7 linked regions of the Kluyveromyces lactis genome follow. The protein of the gene in region 5 interacts with the protein of the main gene of each other region in a pairwise test. Links are inferred from orthologs where the notes say so. Each region holds a gene or a part of one and is shown on either strand. Other genes may lie near its edges.

Region 1 (2,313 bases), about 820 kb from region 5:
TTACAGCTGCTATGTCAGTAAGTGCAGTTCAGAAACACCTTCTATATCACTTGGAATACGTTTGGTATAAATAAGTGAGAGAGAGGAGTAGAAAGAGCTGTATCTGAGCTTCTCTCATCGCATCTCGTTCTCATGTTCTTTATTAAAGGTCGAAACAAAAAATTTTATTTGAAAAGTCAGATGAGTTTAAATGTCATACTTTTCTTTTAATTCTACAGTGCGAAGACTCCGCATTATCTATGACACATTTCTAAATATCTTAGGAACAACCTCGGTTTAGGGCGATTGAGAGAATAGTGCTTAGAAAATTTTGATTAACTGGCGGTTACTTCTGATCCTAAGTAGCTAGCTTATGAGAAGGTGTTTTCCAAAGGCATGTTTTCTTAACTTTCTCTCAAAACGCTAATGAATAATTACTATATAGAACTTTCTTGATTTTTGATTTCGTTTCTTACTATGGAAAAGTTCAAATCTTGCACAAAAAAGAGTCGAATCTTAGCTCACCTATGAAAGTGATCTGGGCCGAAGCTTTCTGGCAATAGTTCATTGAGGGTCATAATTTTTTTGACAGAGGTGTCGCAGTTTGTCATTATTATTGGCAGATCTTCTTTTCCAAACTCTCTGATCGTTTGCCGACAGATTCCACATGGCGGAATGTAATTATCTCTCATATCGCTGTTGATAGCGACACAAACCCAATCTGCTCTGTGGGAGCTTGTGACAGCTTTCACGATAGCAGCTCTTTCTGCACATATGGTGGCTCCATACGTAGCATTCTCCACATTGCTTCCTGTGATATAAGTACCATCTTTTGTCAGTATGCAACATCCGACCCTAAATTTTGAATATGGACTATAGGAACCACTTTTTGCTTTTTGACTCTCTAAAATGGCTCTATCTACCTGTGTAGGTTCAATACCGTCCAGTTTGCTCTTGATCTCCATTTTATACTGCAATGATGCGTATTCAGTAGCGAACTGGGTCCAGCGTGTATTATACGCTCGCCTCTTGGTTTCTTTATACAACGATGGCTGATATCTTCTTGTGTGAGAAATACATCGTTATCATATCGAGATTTTATATAATGAAATATGTCACTATCTGCTTGATTTCGTCTTGGCTGCTTTTACTTACAAAAAATTACCGTTGATCGCAAAGCACATATGAACTATATGTATGTAAATATAGTAAAGCTAACAGTTCCCGTTTGTCTACTGATACAGTTTTCCCGCCATATTAGATGCTCGCAGGGGTATAGTACGATGCTCTTCCTTAAGTCCTATCACGTTTTGTGTCATGCTAAACATGTACGAGGGTCCAAAAATTCTCGTCACGTGACCTGAAGTGTCAGCGCTCAAACTAAAGCGGAAGAAGAAAGAAAGAAGAAAGAAAAAAAAAACTGAAACTAGGTATAAGTCAGGAACGAGAAAAGGTGAAAGCTTGAACATAAAACAGCAGTTGTGGAAAGAGGAGAACGAGAAGCTGATTTCGCCTTACTTGACACCACTGCATTATTTTTTTTTTCCTATTTTAACGCAAAGGAGAGTACCTTTATCGCTGCTAACTTTGCTGAAGGACCTTGTGGTTTCCTTGTTTTCTTATTCACGTTGTCTTCGAATTAGTATACTTTTTTGTTTGGTTTGATTTGACTCATTTACTGGTGCAACTTCAATTATCGCTGGTTAAAGGTCAAAATTAATAAGCAGATTAGGTTTCCTAGTTTGAGAATTTGTTACATATCACTATTGCTTTTATTCTACTGGTTCTGAGCTGCAAATCAGATCCTGTAAGTCTGCGTCTTTCTCTTCTTATGATTCAACTACACCCATTCATAATCCGATTATTGAGGCATCCTTGATTTTATGCAAATACATCTCCAACGGATTACTATAATAAATGGATTCCTCCACTAATATAACATCACGGTTATGGAACCAGCAGGTTCATGAACCTTCAAAGGTTCGAGTACAGAATGTCGATTCTTTGTATCTCATCTCATATTGTGATCGGTTGACGCCGATCATGAGCAACTTTAACGTATATCTTTACATCGATATCCCAACGATTGATTATTATAATGATGAGCTTAAGGATAACAGGCTCTCTCGAATAAACAAAAAGTTTAAGTTGCATAGGCTGAGAGATAAAATTTTGAAGAGTATAATAGGTGAAAATGATGAACTTTGGACACTTTCAAGACAACTCGCAGGCGATTTTGATTTCCATTTGGAAATTTCTTCTAGTGGCTCATTGAGATACGTAGAGACAGTCAAGTTTTTGATAGAGACTGTTTGGACGGAACTAAAAGAAACT
Region 2 (2,955 bases), on a different chromosome or scaffold from region 5:
GACAACACTCAGATACTTTTTCGTTTCATCACTAATTAACAATACGGTCTACTATGCAGTAGAAGTTTTCAACAAAATATTTCTGCCGGAACTAAAATGCTTGTTGAGGGAAAGTACTGACATGAAAAGCACTTTATTTAGTAAGGTTTTATGCATTCGTTCCTCTTTGTATAAGATATATTTTTAATAACTGATCGGTATAGTAACGTCTGCTTTTTGTGTTTTTGTTCATAGAAGGTACCATGGAGTGACTCGGTACATTAAACTTGTAGCTGGCTGATTATTATGCGACAAAATCTTTAGAAGTCTGAAAAATTCCCTTCGAAACAGCAAAATTGATAGCTCCCCAATTGGTATGCTGAAGTATTTATTAAACATTTCCTTGTGATTTCATGGAAGAAATGTTCAGAGGCCATTAGCAGTCATAAAGTGTGTCGATAAAAAGCTATATAAAACTAGACACTAAGTAAAAAATTGAGGTAAAAATCCCCTTGATTCAATCAAGCAGCAAAGTGCTTCAAGATATCTTCAGCAGCCTTGATACCACTAACAGCCATAGCACCGAAAGTTGGACCCATTCTATTCAAACCAGCATGTTCAGCAACTTCCATACCAGCAAAGTAAACTGAACCAACCTTATCGTATGCACCAGCGTTCTTAACAACAGCGTCTTCAGCTCTGTTCATGTCCAAACCCTTCATACCAGCGTAGGACTTAGAGGAATCGATGGAAGCCATACGTTTAACAGTGAAAGCACCAAATGGACCATCGTGACCACAACAAGACAAGATAACACCATGCTTCTGTGATAAATCCCTTTCGCCATTATCCTTGTAACCAGACAATTCGATGACGTTTGGATCCATACAAGATTGGGTGTCGTGATTTTGAGTGACTAGAGTCCAGTTAGTAACAACACCAGCGACGTTGACGTGCTGAGAATTATCATCGGCTGGTCTGGTGACAAGATCTTCAACTGCAGTAGCATTGAACATCTTCACGTTAGGGAACTTCAATACTTCACTCAATACAGTAGACATGAACAAAGCAGCGTGTTTAACAACAACGTAATGACCCTCATCTTCATATGGAATGTTCAATTCGTCCAAGAATTTGTCTGCTGGTTTACGCATGATCATGGCAGAGAACAATTGACCTCCTAACCAACATCCACCACCTGGAGCAACGTTGGCTTCAATAATGGCAATTTTCAAGTCAGGTCTGTTCTTAGCAATGACGTATGCAGCAGATAGACCACTTGAACCTGCACCAATGATAACAACATCGGATACGGCGAACTTGTCCAAATCTTTGAAATAACGAGAGGTCATTGCACGAGAAACAGTTGCTTCCCTAATTGGAGCAAATGCAAAGTCTGACCAGTCGTCTTGTTTGACAACATCAGACAAACAGTGTTCGACACTTTGAGATTGGACTGATAGTTTGTTTTGAGTTTGAGTTTGGGTGGTAGACATTTTTGTTCTGTTGTTGCTACTTGTAAAGTATCCTTTGAATTTAGCTGCTACTGTTCTACAGCGAGAATCATTGATATAACACAAATATAATACCAGAAGGTTAAAAGGGAAAAGGTTGAAAGAGTGGGCCTTTTTATAATTTTAGTTCTCTAACTAGAATGCTCACTGCCTCTTAAACTTCGAACAAAGACCGTGGTTTCACGAGGCTTATCGTCACCCACAACGTTGGTTGGACATGAACCTGTTAGCATTCCATACCATATTACTTTGCCTTTTTTTTTTTTACTGTTAAAACTAATTTCCTTAATGTCTGTACCCTTACTCCGTTATTATACGAATAAGCGTCAGTTAGGAATATCTTGTTAACAGTGATAGAGATATCCGCCAAGGTTCCATGAAAATTGGCTGATTACCAAATCGAGAGTAAACGGGAAAGATAATCGTTCGTTTCCAAAAGAAAAATGCCCCCAAACGTTCTCTTTAACACATCAGTTGATCGCTCAGTAGATTTTGTCCTTTTTGTGAGTATTAACTCTTGGCCTTTAGTTGAATTTCTACCCTTTCTATCGCTGCATATAAAAAAAATACTGTTTTCCAGAGTAACTCTTAGAACAGGCGACAGTTTTTTTTTTGTTCTTTTCCAACATTACCTGCATCCCACACAATTTCCTTAAGGGACATAATTGCTGACGAGAGCATCGTAAATTAACATATACCTGTGTGTATGGTCTGGCGTTTGTCGATAGAAGACCTCATTGGCTGCCATTATTTGCAATTTGAGGTATGAACCGAAAACGAAGGTTTTTAGCTCATCGTTGGCGAAAAAACGTCAGTTTAGGGTGCAAAAAGTAAACTTGGTTGGAAAGAGATACAGGTAGCCCAAGATAGATGACGCAGTAGTACAAGATTTCTGAATTGAAATCTACATTTCCGGTCCATTGAAAGAGTTGTTTGAATTTATTTCGTGTTAAGATGTGGTAGCCTTTCTTCCTTCATTTTCAGTACATAGATACGTGAAAGGCGATTGGAACTATCCACCAGATCAAATTCGGTTATCCTATCCTTAGAATTGGCACTGACATGCCAACTTCTATGAATCAAGAATTACTTTTATTTTTTGGTACTCTAGGTGGGAAAGGCACGCATTGATTCACAATAGAGTGTCCAACGGTTTGAGACATTTTGGGTTGGCTGTTTCGACATCCAACTAGAAATAAATCACGTTTTGGTTATTTAAGTGAAGACAATACTTTGCCAGTTAAAATGCATAAGCCTGTGACTTGAAATTCTAATATTTGAGAGATTGTGAAGTGTCACCGGCTTTGGGCGGTTGGTTCTCTTCCTTAGAATACTTACCAAAGGGGTCTTTTTTACGATGTCGTTCATTGTATTGCATTGTTTTTTTGACCTCAGCGCATACCCATAATATCATTCGTCAACAATAAAGTCTAAAAAATATTAAAACAGTGAGGCATATCAG
Region 3 (2,286 bases), on a different chromosome or scaffold from region 5:
TGCCCCCACCTTCTCATCGTCGACAACCATCGTGACATTTGTCGTAATGCATATCATAAATCTACACTTTTTCGGTTATCGTTTAGCATGCATGAGAAGAAGATTTTACCCCTTCATATTAAGGTGGTCTTTTCTTTCTCCTAATTCTTTATATTCTTAATTTTTTTTGTTTTGTCTACGGTCAATCTTCAATTCCAGCTGTCACGAGCTCATTATAAGGCACAGCTTTAACTTTCTTTCATTTATTAGTTTATTAGTGTTTGTCTGCTCTTTTATCTACCATCCATTCATTTCACCCAACTCCTATTGATGGATTAAAGCGGCAAAATTTTTTATTATATCGAGATATCTTTAGCTCTAATATGAACTAGCTATATATTCAAATAAAATACTTCTTACCACAGTATTATTCTTTTAAATCAATTAACTTAGTGAAATAGGTACTTAGATTGAAATGTGATATATACACATCGATAAACGACCTTATGATTGTACTGTTTTTATTGGCCTGGAATGTAAGCATCTTCATCTTCTTCATATTCTTCATCCTCTTGCTGTATTGGAATGTTTTTAACTCTTCTGGCCCCGAAGTTGGCATTTGTTCCAATTCTATTCTCAAGTGGAGTGTAGAACCCACCTCTGGACGCATCGAATTCGAATCTCATCTCATCACTAACTTGACCACCATTCTTACCTCTACCGAACTGTCTTCCCTCTTCGAACCCAGGATCCAAGTCAATGGTTATATGACGGTCATCTAACTTCGTGTCACCCAAGTATTTTATAGAATTCAATGCGTCTTCCATCTTATCGAATATAATAAAACAAAATCCACACGGCGTAAACTTGAACCTATCTAGACCCATGATAATCTTTTTTATGGTGCCACATTTGGAGAATAGCTCATATATTTGCTCTTCACTTGTGTAAAACGATAGATTACCCACATAAACTGTACAGGATTTCATAGATTTTCTCAACTGTTGCAATCCAGAATCTGGGTCACGTCTAGCCTTACGGATCAAATAACGAGAGGGCTTATCTAACCTATCACAACTGTGATCGTACTTAATCTCATCAAACTCCGCTAGAGACATGGTATTTGCTTGACTGATGCTAGTTTGGGGTATTTGGAGTTTATCTGGAGCTATGGTGTCTTATGAACCTATAGATTTTACTTAATCATTTCAATCCCAAATTTAAAGTTGAATGAATCTTTCAAGTTTTTTTTTTTTTTCCATATAAGCCATATTATAAGTACTGAATACTTTGTGTCAGTGACAGGTTGTGAAAAATCAAATAAACAAATCGGGTGGACACTGCATCGAAGCTCTTGACTGCTGAGAAAGAATAATAAGTAACTTTCAATTAATTAAATTTGAGACTATCCAGTGGTTTCTCTGGAAAAATATTGTTATGCACTCTACTTTGACAGAAATGATTCTCAATAGCCATAAGGGAAATGTGGGAAGATACCATTTTAGAATTCATAACACACCCCCATGCCACCAAGAAGAATAAGATCCCTGTTAAATAGGTGCTGATTGTTAAAATTGACTACACAAGTATTTCCAAGAGATTCAGCTACATACTAACAATATCTGAAGAGAAGGTTTCAAGTGATACTGTTTCCATAATAAAAACTAATGTTGATTTCTATTTTGTATGGTTACTATCCGATATAGTGTAACGGCTATCACATCACGCTTTCACCGTGGAGACCGGGGTTCGACTCCCCGTATCGGAGTATTTTTGAAATTTTTTGCTTTTGCCAACAACCCAACAACTGAAAATAATGAAGATCGACATTAACGAGCGGACCGTGATATATGATACTGATAACTAATCCGTCACAATATATACCACTGTAGAGGCAGTAAACTATCAAGATAGAATTAGCAGCAGTACCTGTTTACCACACATTGGATACGTAATACAATGACATATACGGTATAGACGACAAGAAAACAAACAAACTGATAGACATGAATACCAAAGTATTTCAGACATTTATGAGATGAGATATGGTTGAATTGTTATAAAGATTAGAAAACGTATGTCGAAAAACAAGTAGTTGAAAATTGTATTGGCCTAGTGTAAAAAGGAAGTAAAAATGAGAAAAAGAAATCAGTGATTGTGACAGTATTATGATATTGTATTTCAAGATTGAGAAAGGTGCGAACGAACGGAATTACTATTATCAGTATAATAAAGCCATAAAAGGAGAGAAATGAAATATTCATCAATGATTCATGATACACTATGTATGAAAATTTGTAGAAAAGG
Region 4 (2,974 bases), on a different chromosome or scaffold from region 5:
GAGGTGGGGATATCAGGTTCCTATGGGGGGTTGCTTTCATTCGGAAACGGAACCATCAAGTATGTTGTGCCTGTTTCCCCCGTGATTCCTTGTTCAGGGTTCTCTGTTCTTTTCTACAACGGAAGTATAAAGTATATCGGATGTACTTAGGATAATCATAAGATTCTACATTGAAGGCACTTGTAGACACTTGTAGATGCTGGTAGATGCTTCTACTATTCAGCAGCATCTCTTCATTTTTACAATACTGTTGTCCGACTCCCTGGTGCACATTTCTTGGGAACTTATTCGCTCAGAGGACCAGCCGTGCAGTTTTCTCGAGTCTGATGATTCTTTTTTTTTTCTTTTAGTATTCACTATAGTGACTGGGGACTTCCAGATTTCTATCGGTGCTAAAATAAAATGACCGATACCAGCGTAGTGAACACCTGATCTACGTGATACCTCTATTCATGTATTCATGTACTTATTTACCCTATCTATTGTATTCCACGTATGATTTACAAGATAAGCGGTTTTGGTAGGTACGGTTGTTCCAAGTACTGTATTTCTTCTTCGGAGAGTTTCAATTCGGTAGCGGAGATAATTTCTTTCACACGGTCAATGGAACTTAGACCGACAATGGGATAACCACCTTTGGCTAGGACCCATGCCGATGATACTACGGCCATACTGACACCATGCTTCTTGGCCAAGTCTTCCACTCTATTGACGATTTCTGTTTCCTGAGGTTGTAATTGATCCAATTGTCTGCCCTTAATTCTACCATCGGTCTCATACCGTTTAGAATTCGATTGTTGGCTTACTGGCCTGCAAAGAATTCCTCTGGCATTTGGAGACCATGGGATCATTCCGACACCATGTCTCTTCAAATATGGAATAAGTTCCCTTTCATCTTCCCTGTAAAGTAAGTTGTAGCAGGACTGGGAACTGATGAACTTGTGCCAGCCGTACCTTTCTGCAATAGATTGCAATTCAACGAATTCCGTAGCTAGCATTGTTGAAGCGCCAATGTACCGAACTTGTCCCGATTCAACGACATGGTTCAATGATCTCATGATTTCCTCCATTGGTGTCTCACGATCAAGTCTGTGAATTTGTAACACATCAATGCACGTATCCAACCTTTTACAACTTGCAGTAACTCCAGCAAGGATATGCTTCCGAGACAAACCTTGTTGGTTTGTCAAATCCAAAAGATCGTTTTCCGTAAATCCATTGCTGTGGCTCAATTCGAGATCTTCATCAACCGGGAAGTACACTTTCGTCAAGATTACAACGGTCTCTCTACGGATGTTGTACTTCTTCAAGAATTCACCGACCAATTTCTCACTTAATCCATTGCTGTAGAAGTCTGCCGTGTCAAATGTACGTAACCCATGATCGTAACAGTATTTCAAAGTAGAAAAGATCTTTTCCTTGTCATCTTCAACCCATGCAGCCCAATCTTTAGATCCATAACTCATACAACCAATCAGAATGGGTGAGATCTTCAACCCTGAACGTCCTAATCTTACTTGCTTCAACAATGACATCTTGATGTTCTACAGTCTTTGCTTCTCGAATTTGCTGAACCTTTTTTAATTGGGTTTCAATGTTGGACTTAAACAATACTTATGGAAATGCTACCTATATATACTTCCGAATGGAAGTTGGATGGTGTCTCTACTGAATTTATTTACCTTTTTTCGTTTATCTCTACGTCTTCCATTTATACGATTCTTTGTATTATTAATCCAGTAACTAATCCACTGATAACACCCACGGATCAAAGTCTGAATTTTGCATTCTATTAGTCAGAAGTGAAACCGGCCGCTTTTTGTTGCCATAGGTGAGTGCTCTTGATCATAAAAATATTCTCAACATTCATTCTCTGTGACTTTGAATAAATAAGGGGAACGTCGTATCGACTAAACAATTTGAGTTATGTACACGTGATTTCCGTCGCGATTTCAATATATTGTAGTTGATGGCATAGTGTCAATTTTATTGTAGTGCCTGACCGCGTCATTACTCAGTAAATTAAATTAGAAGTAGTTAAGTATATATGAATATATATACTGAAGAAGAAGAAGTATGCGAAATAGTAATGCTACACCTTTCATAGGTGCCATTTATGAAATTCTGGCATTTCCAAATGGAAGAATGGTAAGTTTACACCTAAAGCGGTATGAAGTGCTATTGGTTCAGGTAACGCCGCTTCTGGATCTTGCAAATCAGGTCTATTCTTGACCAAACTATAACTTGTATGTCCTACGATGATTGATTCATCGCTGAATTCCTCATTGACAGTACCGAATCCAGCATTGATTAAAGATCTCTTGATCCAAGGCGAGATGATTCCACTGAAATGGAATTCTACCTGTCTATTAGCATATTTGTTAATGGCCTTTCTTAAGTCGACCAAGTTTTGAACACCCGTGGAATCAATCTGAGTCACTTGGGACCAGTCCATAGCAAGGATCTTCAAAACAGGTCTCTCATCAATTACTTCGCCACCTTCAAGATCATGTTTGTTCCCCAACTTAAATAGCTTTTTCACTAAAAATGGAGGTTCCCACTCACCTGGATCATTCCACATCTTATCATGTTTGCTTACATGTTTCAAAAGCTTTCCTGGTCTTGTCAGTTCTTTTACTCTGTCGAAAATGGTATCGTACTGTCTAGAACAGTTAACATATGTCCATGATTCACTTGGTCTGTATACAATCACACCAGGAGGAGGTGCTTGTACTACAACATCTGGATTTAATTCACGCTGATAGTGGTTATTCAGTGGTAGCCATTTAGTATGATATTGTAATTGAGAATGGCCGAAAGACTCATTCGCTACGACTCCAACTTTTACCGCAGTGTTGTTTTTGGTAACGTTATCTTCGATAGTCTTAGGCTGAGAATCTTCAGAGAGTACGATGCGATCGATGTTTTCATCAACTTCAGCGTTACTAACTTGACAAATTTCAACATAACCCAA
Region 5 (3,432 bases):
CATTGAACTCATATTATCGCATCAGCGTAATATTCAACTCCGAGCTTTGAAGTAGCACATATGCATTGGATATTTCCTTTTCGTGTGATTATAGGCGATGTTTCACCGAGGAAATTTCGATTGTGTATTTTTAAAGGTTTACAAAAATCCAAACCTTTAAATGTTGATATTATGCATCGGAACATGTAGAGGTAACACCGAAAGTGATATGCACCTAACTGGTCACCTAATTTCTATGACAGAGAGAAGGTCCATGATACTGTTTTTTGAGCACAGTTTTTACTTTTATCGTGGTTCAAAACTGCAAATAAGACTTGGGCCCTTTAATGACATAGAATTCTGTTTCACAATGAAGGGAGAAGTGTAGATTAATAATACTATAGATAGATTACATTAATGCAAAAATTATATGATATTTAACAGGCGCGTAGTATTCATTTATTGTCTAGAATAAAAAAAGCAAATGTAATTACATGACACACGCACAGCTAGAGTTGGTTTTAATTGAAGTTGAATTGCTGGTTGACATTTGATCCAAATCCAAAAGTGTTACCAGCTGTTTGTGGAGCCATAGATTCATCAACAACATCATCTTCATCACTAAAGTACTTTTCAATGATCTTGAAGGCCTTTTCGTAAATTTTTTCGTTAGCATTAGACTGTAAATTGAAGATCTTTTCCATACCACCAGCTTTCTCAATGAAATCAGCATTTTCGTTCACGGCAATACCTCTGACTTCTCTATCCATTTCACCCATCTTCAAAATATTTTCTATAGCATCTAGTGTAACCTCTATGATTCTGTTATCAGCAATCTCTAATAGATCGCACAATGGTTTTATACAGCCTTGACTGACCAAATATCTGATAATTTCTGGCTTGTGTAACCCACCAGAAGAGGCATTCGAGATGGCCCAACATGCTTCTTTCTTTGTCTTATATTCTGCAGTTTCCAACAATCTGATTAATGGTGGAATTAAGTTAGCATCAATAACGGCTTGAATCTGTTCCGTATTACCAGCGGTTATATTAGAGATGGTCCAACAAGCTTCCTTTCTTATGGATTCCTTTGGAGAAGCCAATAGATTTCTTAGAGCTGCCAAGGCTCCACAGTTGATAACGATCTGAGTTTGCAAATCGTTACCTGTGACAATGTTACCTACAGCTCTTAGAGCAGGGGTTTGCACTAACGTAGATTGGTGGGATAGTAGTTCTACAAGTCTCTTTGGGATTCTAGCATCTACTACCGCTTGGATCGAATTAACCGGGCCATCGGAAAGATATGAGATAGCCCAACAAGCATCGACTAACGTTTCAGTATCCATGGAGTAGATTAGCTTAGACAAAGTTGGCAAAGCTTGAGACACGATAGACCAATCTGGTTGAGGTTTCTTACCACGACACAAGTTAGATAAAGTCCACGTAGCTGTTCTAATCAAGGAAGTCTTGTTCAATTCGAACAAATATAGAATTGGTTGCATGGCACCACATTGCAAAACGTAGTCTCTATAATCGGTGGAATCACCAGCAACGTTACCCAAGGCCCAAATAGCTTGTTCCTTCACTTCAACCGAGTTTGAATATAATAATTGAATGAATAATGGCACAGCACCCGCATCTACGACGACTCTAGTCTGCTCAGAAGTACCAGAAGCAATGTTCGTCAACGCCCAAGCAGCTTCCAATTGCAACATCTCAGGTTGATTTTCGCTCATGAATTGGACCAAGGTTGGCACTACGCCAGTACTGATAACCAAATCGATAGGTGGTCTGTGTTCTCTAGACAAGACTTGTCTAAACTTGACCGTCACAGCCAACTGTTGTTGTAGATCGTTAGAATGGATTTGTTCCAACATAGCAGGCAACTCCTGTTGTAATTGTCTGTAGAAAGAGGAGTCCTGATCGTCATCATCATCATTTTCATCATCAGAATCGTTACCAACAGGCGCATTGAAATTTCTTCTTTTTGCTAATGCCTCATCCCTCTTGACTTTTCTCAACTCGACTTGTTGAACGTCTCTACGACGACGTAATTCATCAGCAGAGAATCTACCCTTATTCTTGAAGTTTGTCCTCCTGTATTCAGGAACAAACTTGCTGGAAGTGTCACCGTCCATCTTTCACTTATAAAATAATAAAACGGATACCTGCTATCTGATCCTTCGTGCTAGCCGCGAACCAAAGAAAATTCAGAGAAGTAAAAAAAAAGATTGTAACTAATTCCTTTCTACCAAACTCACAATCACAATTGATCGTCCCGTCTTTTCAAGTAGATATTTTTGCAAATGGGTTCCAAATCAAACAAAAATAAAGAGAAGTTGGATTTAAAGAAGAAATTATCAGTCGCAAAATCAATCTCTAACAATCACAAATAGCGTTTCCCCTTGAGTAAATGAAAATCTGATTCGTTTCTTTGTATTGCTTGACAGAAAAATATATCGGAAGCCAAGAGCACCGTATTGTTTTATATATGTAACAGTGTAATTGAAGTAGAATGCAAACCAATCTTTTATTCAATCCCATATAATATCCATCTTGATTAAAATCCTTCTTTTTTGGCCATCCAAAAAATTCGAATTTTTTTTTTTGGTTGAAATTTCTTTGCCAGATAGTCGTGATGTACGGAGTTGTCACGTGACATACCAACCTCGTGTAAGAAAACGACAAAGGTTCTAACATCAAAAGACAGGAAAAGATGGGCAGGGTCAATTTGACACACTTTTCAACACATATTAAGAGATGTATATACGTATACATAATATATTTGGGATGGTTGGTAATATAAATATATCACCGGGGATTCCTTGTTTTCGTTCCTCATTCATTCTCATGATACACACACACTAAAGTATACATGAGGGTAAGTTGATGAGAGTAGAAGCGAAAGAATTGTGATACAATCAACTAGCATAAGTTCCTTTTTCTATTTCCCCCTTTAGTAAGCATCAAAAATACATTCACTGGGTATTGGAGATGGATGGAATGATTTGAGGGAGAGAAAAAGGAATGGACAAAACCGCTCAGTTGATGTTTTATTGACATGTTCTCTCTAGCAGCATTTTGAAAATGTCCCTCACAAATAAATGAGTGCTCGAATGAACAGGCGGGAAAGATTCAGAATTCAACGCCAAGAAAGAAACACGGTTCACCTACTGCACTCCATTCCTTTTTGTTATATATATACTCCAAATATCGACGATTATGAATTTTCACAACACACACACTGCTGTACGGTTCATAAACGTCAATTTTTTTTCATTCATGAAATGGAATAATTTTCAAATTAGGACACAGATAGATGAGATTGAGTAGTATATACTGTGTTAATTTAACACAATACACTTACACTCAAAACAAAAAATTTGTTAGCACGCGACACGACACACGACACACATTCACGACACGCAGCAACGACATAGGTAAGGTAGTAGA
Region 6 (2,886 bases), on a different chromosome or scaffold from region 5:
TCGTGGTTGAACGGTGGTTTAGAATGAACATATGATGCTTGGTTCGTTTGGGAATTCTGCCCATTGCTGTTGTTATTTTTTTTCTTGTTACTGCGTGAGTCCTGCGAAGAGATACTACTTCTACTGGTATTTTCACTTGTTACTGGAGTAGGAATGGCTGAAGCAGAAGTGGGAGAAGCGGTCGTATATGCCATACTTTTTTTTTTCAACGCAGAGCTTTCACTTCCCCAAGCACCAAGTTTCTTACTTTGCCAAGCATTAGCCATTGTTAAGCAGTGTATAGGAAAACCGGATGGATAATTCTATTTATTCCCAACGGAAAAGTACGTTACCAGACGGCGAAAGAGAGATCCTATGGAAATACAATCGTGTACACAAGGAACGATTTGATGGAGCTTACTTCCGCTCTACCTTGACGATTGTTACAACTGATCAAAGGAATATGCCGAAATCGCTTCTTCATGTTAGATTTTCTTATTGCAGTAGACCAGAACACGTGACCCGAATTTTTGGACGGATCTCAGTTACTTTTCACGAGATATCCGGGTAATATCACGGTATTTAAATCTACTTGTCAAACACCCATCAACCACACATACATAAATTCTCCCGGTCGCCCCTCTGGTTCCCCCCCACTACCGATACAGCACTGGCAGAAATTGGAAAACCAAAGACGAAAACATGTTCCCGGAGCTCCAATGAACCCACACATCACGATATATGACCCCAGATTCATTTAATTTGAAGATCAATAAAACCTTTTTTTTTATTTTCCCTCTCAGTGTTATGAGCAAAATCACCTTAAATCGCTACAGAAAACACATAATCAAATAGTACTTGCAAATCATGTTCTGTTTCAAGTGACTAGGAAATGCCTTAGCACACTACGTGCCATACTGCGTCCATAGCGAGCTTTTCTCATTCTGTTTTTCTTTTGTTTCCTTCGCGCCAGAAATGGTGCGGTTCTTGCGATTTTTCAAAGCTAGAAGAAATTCAGAGACCAGATAATCGATATCAGACAGAGTAATGAACTGGCTTCGTTGGTTTCTTCGGGGGTAGAATTTTCCGAATTAATCCGTTGCGTTGTCCGCTACTTGCGTATGGATGTAAGTCGTGTATATTGTCTGTTTGATCCTTATTTTAGTGTATATAAATTGGATTCAAACCAGTTTTATGATTTCGATCCTCTTCAGCACTTTATGACTTATTATTGGATTCGAGCATTAGTTTCAAATTAAAGGCATAATCAAGTAGAAAGAAGACTATTCAATTCATTTCCCTTCCGAAGCTTCGCATATCCCGATTAAATAATTAATAAATGGCTGGTATTAAACACAGAAGAGACTCAGCTGAGTCTATCAATACCGACATCATCACGTTGTCCCGTTTTATCTTGGACCAACAGCATCTTTCTGCGAAAAATGCCACTGGGGAGTTTTCTATGCTTTTGAACTCTTTGCAGTTTGCATTTAAATTTATTTCTCAAACAATTAGACGTGCTGAATTGGTTAACTTGATCGGATTGGCTGGTGCTTCAAATAGTACCGGTGACCAGCAAAAGAAGTTGGATGTGTTGGGTGATGAAATCTTCATCAATGCTATGAAAGCGTCTGGTAACGTCAAGGTACTTGTGTCTGAAGAACAAGAAGATTTGATCGTTTTCCGTAACAGCCCTGGTAAATACGCGGTATGTTGTGACCCAATTGATGGTTCGTCTAACTTGGATGCTGGTGTCTCAGTGGGTACCATTGTCTCTCTGTTCAAGATTCATGAGAATCAGAATGGTAACTCTGGGGAAGAAGATAGTGAGGGTACCATCAACGATGTTGCTCGTTGCGGTAGAGAAATGGTTGCTGCTTGTTACACTATGTACGGTGCGTCCACGCATTTGGTTTTAACTACCGGTGCAGGTGTCAATGGGTTCACTTTGGACAATAACTTGGGTGAATTTATCTTGACTTACCCAGAATTGAGACTACCTGAGCAAAAATCTATTTACTCCATCAATGAGGGGAACACCTGCTATTGGGAACCAACTATCGCTGATTTCATTGCCAAGTTGAAGGAAAACAGCGAAGAAAATAACGGTAAGCCTTACTCTGCTCGTTACATCGGTTCAATGGTCGCTGACGTACACAGAACTTTACTATATGGTGGTTTATTCTCTTACCCAGGTGATAAGAAAAATCCTAACGGGAAGTTAAGATTGTTATATGAAGCATTCCCAATGGCTTTCCTTGTTGAACAAGCTGGTGGTAAAGCCGTTAATGATAGAGGTGAACGTATCTTGGATTTGGTCCCTCAACATATTCACGACAAAAGCAGTATCTGGTTAGGTAGCTCTGGAGACGTTGATAAATATTTAAAGCATATCGGTAAGTTGTAAATACGTATACGAACCTCCCATCAACAGAAGAAAATTAAGTAACATAATAATTCATGAAATACCACATTAAAAATAAATTAATAACCGACCTTGAATAACTATTTCACGATTCCAGTATTTACATTTATCATACATTCTCTTGTATTATAGAAAGTACTGTTAAATATAAAAAGTAAGAATCTCTTATTTATATTCTCTAAATAACTTCTTTGAGTAAACTACTACGTTCAGTGGGTTCTGGATTGGTCACAACAGTCCCATTAGAGTGAATAGAAGAACGGTCCAGGTCAACTATTTCCTCTTCGTAATCATCTGCAGTCAAACGATGCTGATCTTCAAAACGTCTGGCAGAGTTATACGCGATCACATCTGCAGGTAAAACGGTATCCACGATGGCTTCGGAGTATCCAATATTTTTCAGCTCGTCGTTCATCAACTTGTGAACACGGTTACATAGATCACCTACGTCTTCTTTCTTCAAATTTTCCGTGCTAATTGGC
Region 7 (2,543 bases), on a different chromosome or scaffold from region 5:
AGTTTAGGATCGGGATTCGTCCACATTGCAGCCGTCGTGCTATAGGGTTTCCTCATTTTAGGTGCATCTGCCAAATAAATCACGTATATATAAAAGATCAAGATATATAAGGGACATATATTTAGTCAAAGAAAAGTGTATGGAGAACGGGATCGGGATCAGTAAAGAACAGAGATCAGAGAACCAGTCACTTTGAGAATACTTCAATGAAATCAGAATCAGATATACAGCCAGATGAGCATCTTCCGTCGTATGATGAAGTGCTGAGACAAGATACTGCTGCTGCTTCGCAGCAGCAGCAGCAGCTCCCACCAAACCCTCCACCACGTCCAACACAACCACCAGCAAGACCGCCCCGGCCAAGCAATGCCATACCAGCGTACCATCATTCCACTAGTACCTTTTCAAGCAGTACCAGTACCAGTACTGGCAATAAGAAACTACCCTGGACGTACCCTCCAGGATATTATTGTAAAAAATGCGGGAACACTGGCACCAAGATCAAGACTCAACAAAAATGTAAGAAATGTTGGTCGAAATTCTACAAACCCCCACCTGCACAACCACCACGTCCAAGTGCAGGGCCAAGACCTGCGTTCGTATACTCTAATGTCACGATGCCACCACAGAATTTCGTCATAAACTCAGCACCTATCGTTGTGCGTCCCGGTGACAGTCGCATAGGAGGCATGATGTGTAACAATTGCAATGGGACTGGTAGGGTACGATTCTTCTTGGATAAAGAACCGTGTCCCGTATGCTACGGTCTTGGCAGGATTCTTACTGGACCAACCTACTAGTTTGATCATCTGATTCGCCCAAACTCTACACTGTTTAAGTAAAATTGTACATAATTAATTTCTATTCATTTCATGTTTGTCCATTAACAACATTCAATAGCAGGGTACTGGCTGAGGTAGCACATGATAGAGTAACTAGTCATGTCTAATTGCTGCTTCTCATGGTACGGTGTTTCCACAGTTTTACTTTTTTTCCTTGTATGACAAAAAGTGAAAAATTTCGATGAGTTCGAGTTATAGGAAACAAGAGGTATAAAGCGTACCATATGCATTTGTTCCATTGTAAAGTTTTCGATTTTGGGTTGGCTCTTTCAAGCTTTAACTGATTGGATAATTCAGTGAAAGTTTGTCGTTTTGTGTGTTAGTTTGTGCGTACGTGTCTCCTTCTGTCGGCTTCTCTCAACAAGTCCCGTTGTCTGACCAGTATCACATATTTATAGGGTCTTTCTTTTGCATGGATTAGTAACCCATATCAGGTAACCCATACAGCTAGCTATATTCAATAATGGAAAACAAACATATCTCGCACGTCTCTCAGATTGAAAGACGTGCTACTCCTTTGAACATTCGTCCAGCTTCGCCTTATACCTTAAATCCTACTGTGGAAAAAGACGGTTTATCATGGCCTAGTATTGGTGCTCGTGAAAGAGCAGAGGAAACGGATGAAGAAGAACAAAAACGGGTTGGTCGTATTGCAGATGCGGTTAAGACTATTTTGAGTGAGCTCGGTGAGGATACCGAACGTGAGGGTTTACTGGATACCCCTACACGGTACGCTAAAGCGATGTTGTATTTCACTAAAGGCTATCAGGATAATATCATGAACGATGTGATTAAGAATGCTGTGTTCGAGGAAGATCATGACGAGATGGTTATTGTTCGTGACATTGAGATCTTCTCTTTGTGCGAGCATCATTTGGTGCCATTTTTCGGTAAAGTTCATATTGGATACATTCCTAATAAGAAGGTGTTGGGTTTATCGAAATTGGCTCGTTTAGCAGAGATGTACGCTAGACGTTTCCAAGTACAAGAACGTTTAACGAAGCAAATTGCTATGGCTTTGAGTGATATCTTGAAACCTAGAGGTGTCGCTGTGGTCATCGAGGCTACTCATATGTGTATGGTGTCTCGTGGTGTCCAAAAAACTGGTTCTTCCACTGTCACTTCTTGTATGTTGGGATACTTGCGAGAATCACACAAGACAAGAGAAGAATTCTTAAACCTTTTGGGCAGAAGGTACTGATGATTCATCATTAGACCTGGTTTTAAGCTACCTTTAAAAATTTTTTTTTGACTTTGATTATCTACAAGCATAAGAGATACAATACGATACCGGTTTTTTAATTGTTTCAACAGCAAGAGGAATGGAAAGATAATAGAACATCCAATAATAATTACTACTCGCATTATAAGGTACCAGCTTTTCAAGTTATACGCATACTTGTGCAAGGCACAGGCACGAGCAAAACTTTTCCTCATCACACACCTTATAGAGATTCATTTCAATTTTTTTTTTACTCAGTTTACATGCATTCAACTTCATGAAACATCAATTACCAATTTAATTTGTTTCCATCAAGAGCTTTCAACGCTCGTTACACCTTGTTTTATTTCGTACTCTCCTCTTGAACCGGAAAAAATATCTGTAAGATTACTGCCAGCCCAGTATTGCTTCAACTTCTATATTTAATTCTAATTTTAACGCCTATATGTATAAAGATAATAATATTGAGATTGTTATAC

Evidence for each region.
Region 1: the proteins of SRP1 (region 5) and CDD1 interact in a two-hybrid assay, tested with the Saccharomyces cerevisiae proteins (2 studies listed by BioGRID). The link is inferred for Kluyveromyces lactis from reciprocal best matches to the Saccharomyces cerevisiae genes SRP1 and CDD1.
Region 2: the proteins of SRP1 (region 5) and THI4 interact in a two-hybrid assay, tested with the Saccharomyces cerevisiae proteins (2 studies listed by BioGRID). The link is inferred for Kluyveromyces lactis from reciprocal best matches to the Saccharomyces cerevisiae genes SRP1 and THI4.
Region 3: the proteins of SRP1 (region 5) and CBC2 interact in binary tests that used the Saccharomyces cerevisiae proteins (3 or more experiments, as listed by UniProt). The link is inferred for Kluyveromyces lactis from reciprocal best matches to the Saccharomyces cerevisiae genes SRP1 and CBC2.
Region 4: the proteins of SRP1 (region 5) and KLLA0_F19360g interact in a two-hybrid assay, tested with the Saccharomyces cerevisiae proteins (2 studies listed by BioGRID). The link is inferred for Kluyveromyces lactis from reciprocal best matches to the Saccharomyces cerevisiae genes SRP1 and YPL088W.
Region 6: the proteins of SRP1 (region 5) and FBP1 interact in a two-hybrid assay, tested with the Saccharomyces cerevisiae proteins (2 studies listed by BioGRID). The link is inferred for Kluyveromyces lactis from reciprocal best matches to the Saccharomyces cerevisiae genes SRP1 and FBP1.
Region 7: the proteins of SRP1 (region 5) and FOL2 interact in a two-hybrid assay, tested with the Saccharomyces cerevisiae proteins (2 studies listed by BioGRID). The link is inferred for Kluyveromyces lactis from reciprocal best matches to the Saccharomyces cerevisiae genes SRP1 and FOL2.

The regions. Positions count from the first base shown.
Region 1 is NC_006040.1:1,552,616-1,554,928, reverse strand, and holds CDD1 (cytidine deaminase), read right to left. Parts: upstream 945-2,313; coding exon 501-944; downstream 1-500. Other genes in the region: SND1 (Snd1p), read left to right, coding at 1,897-2,313. UniProt on the Saccharomyces cerevisiae protein: This enzyme scavenges exogenous and endogenous cytidine and 2'-deoxycytidine for UMP synthesis.
Region 2 is NC_006037.1:13,737-16,691, forward strand, and holds THI4 (thiamine thiazole synthase), read right to left. Parts: upstream 1,476-2,955; coding exon 501-1,475; downstream 1-500.
Region 3 is NC_006038.1:914,012-916,297, forward strand, and holds CBC2 (nuclear cap-binding protein subunit CBC2), read right to left. Parts: upstream 1,098-2,286; coding exon 501-1,097; downstream 1-500. Other genes in the region: KLLA0_B10450g (homeobox domain-containing protein), read left to right, coding at 1-35.
Region 4 is NC_006042.1:1,791,339-1,794,312, reverse strand, and holds KLLA0_F19360g (aldo-keto reductase superfamily protein), read right to left. Parts: upstream 1,536-2,974; coding exon 501-1,535; downstream 1-500. Other genes in the region: SUL2 (sulfate permease), read right to left, coding at 2,102-2,974. UniProt on the Saccharomyces cerevisiae protein: Putative aryl-alcohol dehydrogenase.
Region 5 is NC_006040.1:729,689-733,120, forward strand, and holds SRP1 (karyopherin alpha), read right to left. Parts: upstream 2,118-3,432; coding exon 501-2,117; downstream 1-500. Other genes in the region: KAR1 (Kar1p), read right to left, coding at 1-12. UniProt on the Saccharomyces cerevisiae protein: Functions in nuclear protein import as an adapter protein for importin beta nuclear receptors. Binds specifically and directly to substrates containing either a simple or bipartite NLS motif. Promotes docking of import substrates to the nuclear envelope.
Region 6 is NC_006041.1:124,962-127,847, forward strand, and holds FBP1 (fructose 1,6-bisphosphate 1-phosphatase), read left to right. Parts: upstream 1-1,318; coding exon 1,319-2,386; downstream 2,387-2,886. Other genes in the region: PBP4 (Pbp4p), read right to left, coding at 1-266; 1-acylglycerol-3-phosphate O-acyltransferase SLC1, read right to left, coding at 2,583-2,886.
Region 7 is NC_006037.1:853,663-856,205, reverse strand, and holds FOL2 (GTP cyclohydrolase I), read left to right. Parts: upstream 1-1,305; coding exon 1,306-2,043; downstream 2,044-2,543. Other genes in the region: KLLA0_A09757g (uncharacterized protein), read left to right, coding at 207-800. UniProt on the Saccharomyces cerevisiae protein: GTP cyclohydrolase 1 is the first enzyme in the biosynthetic pathway leading to folic acid.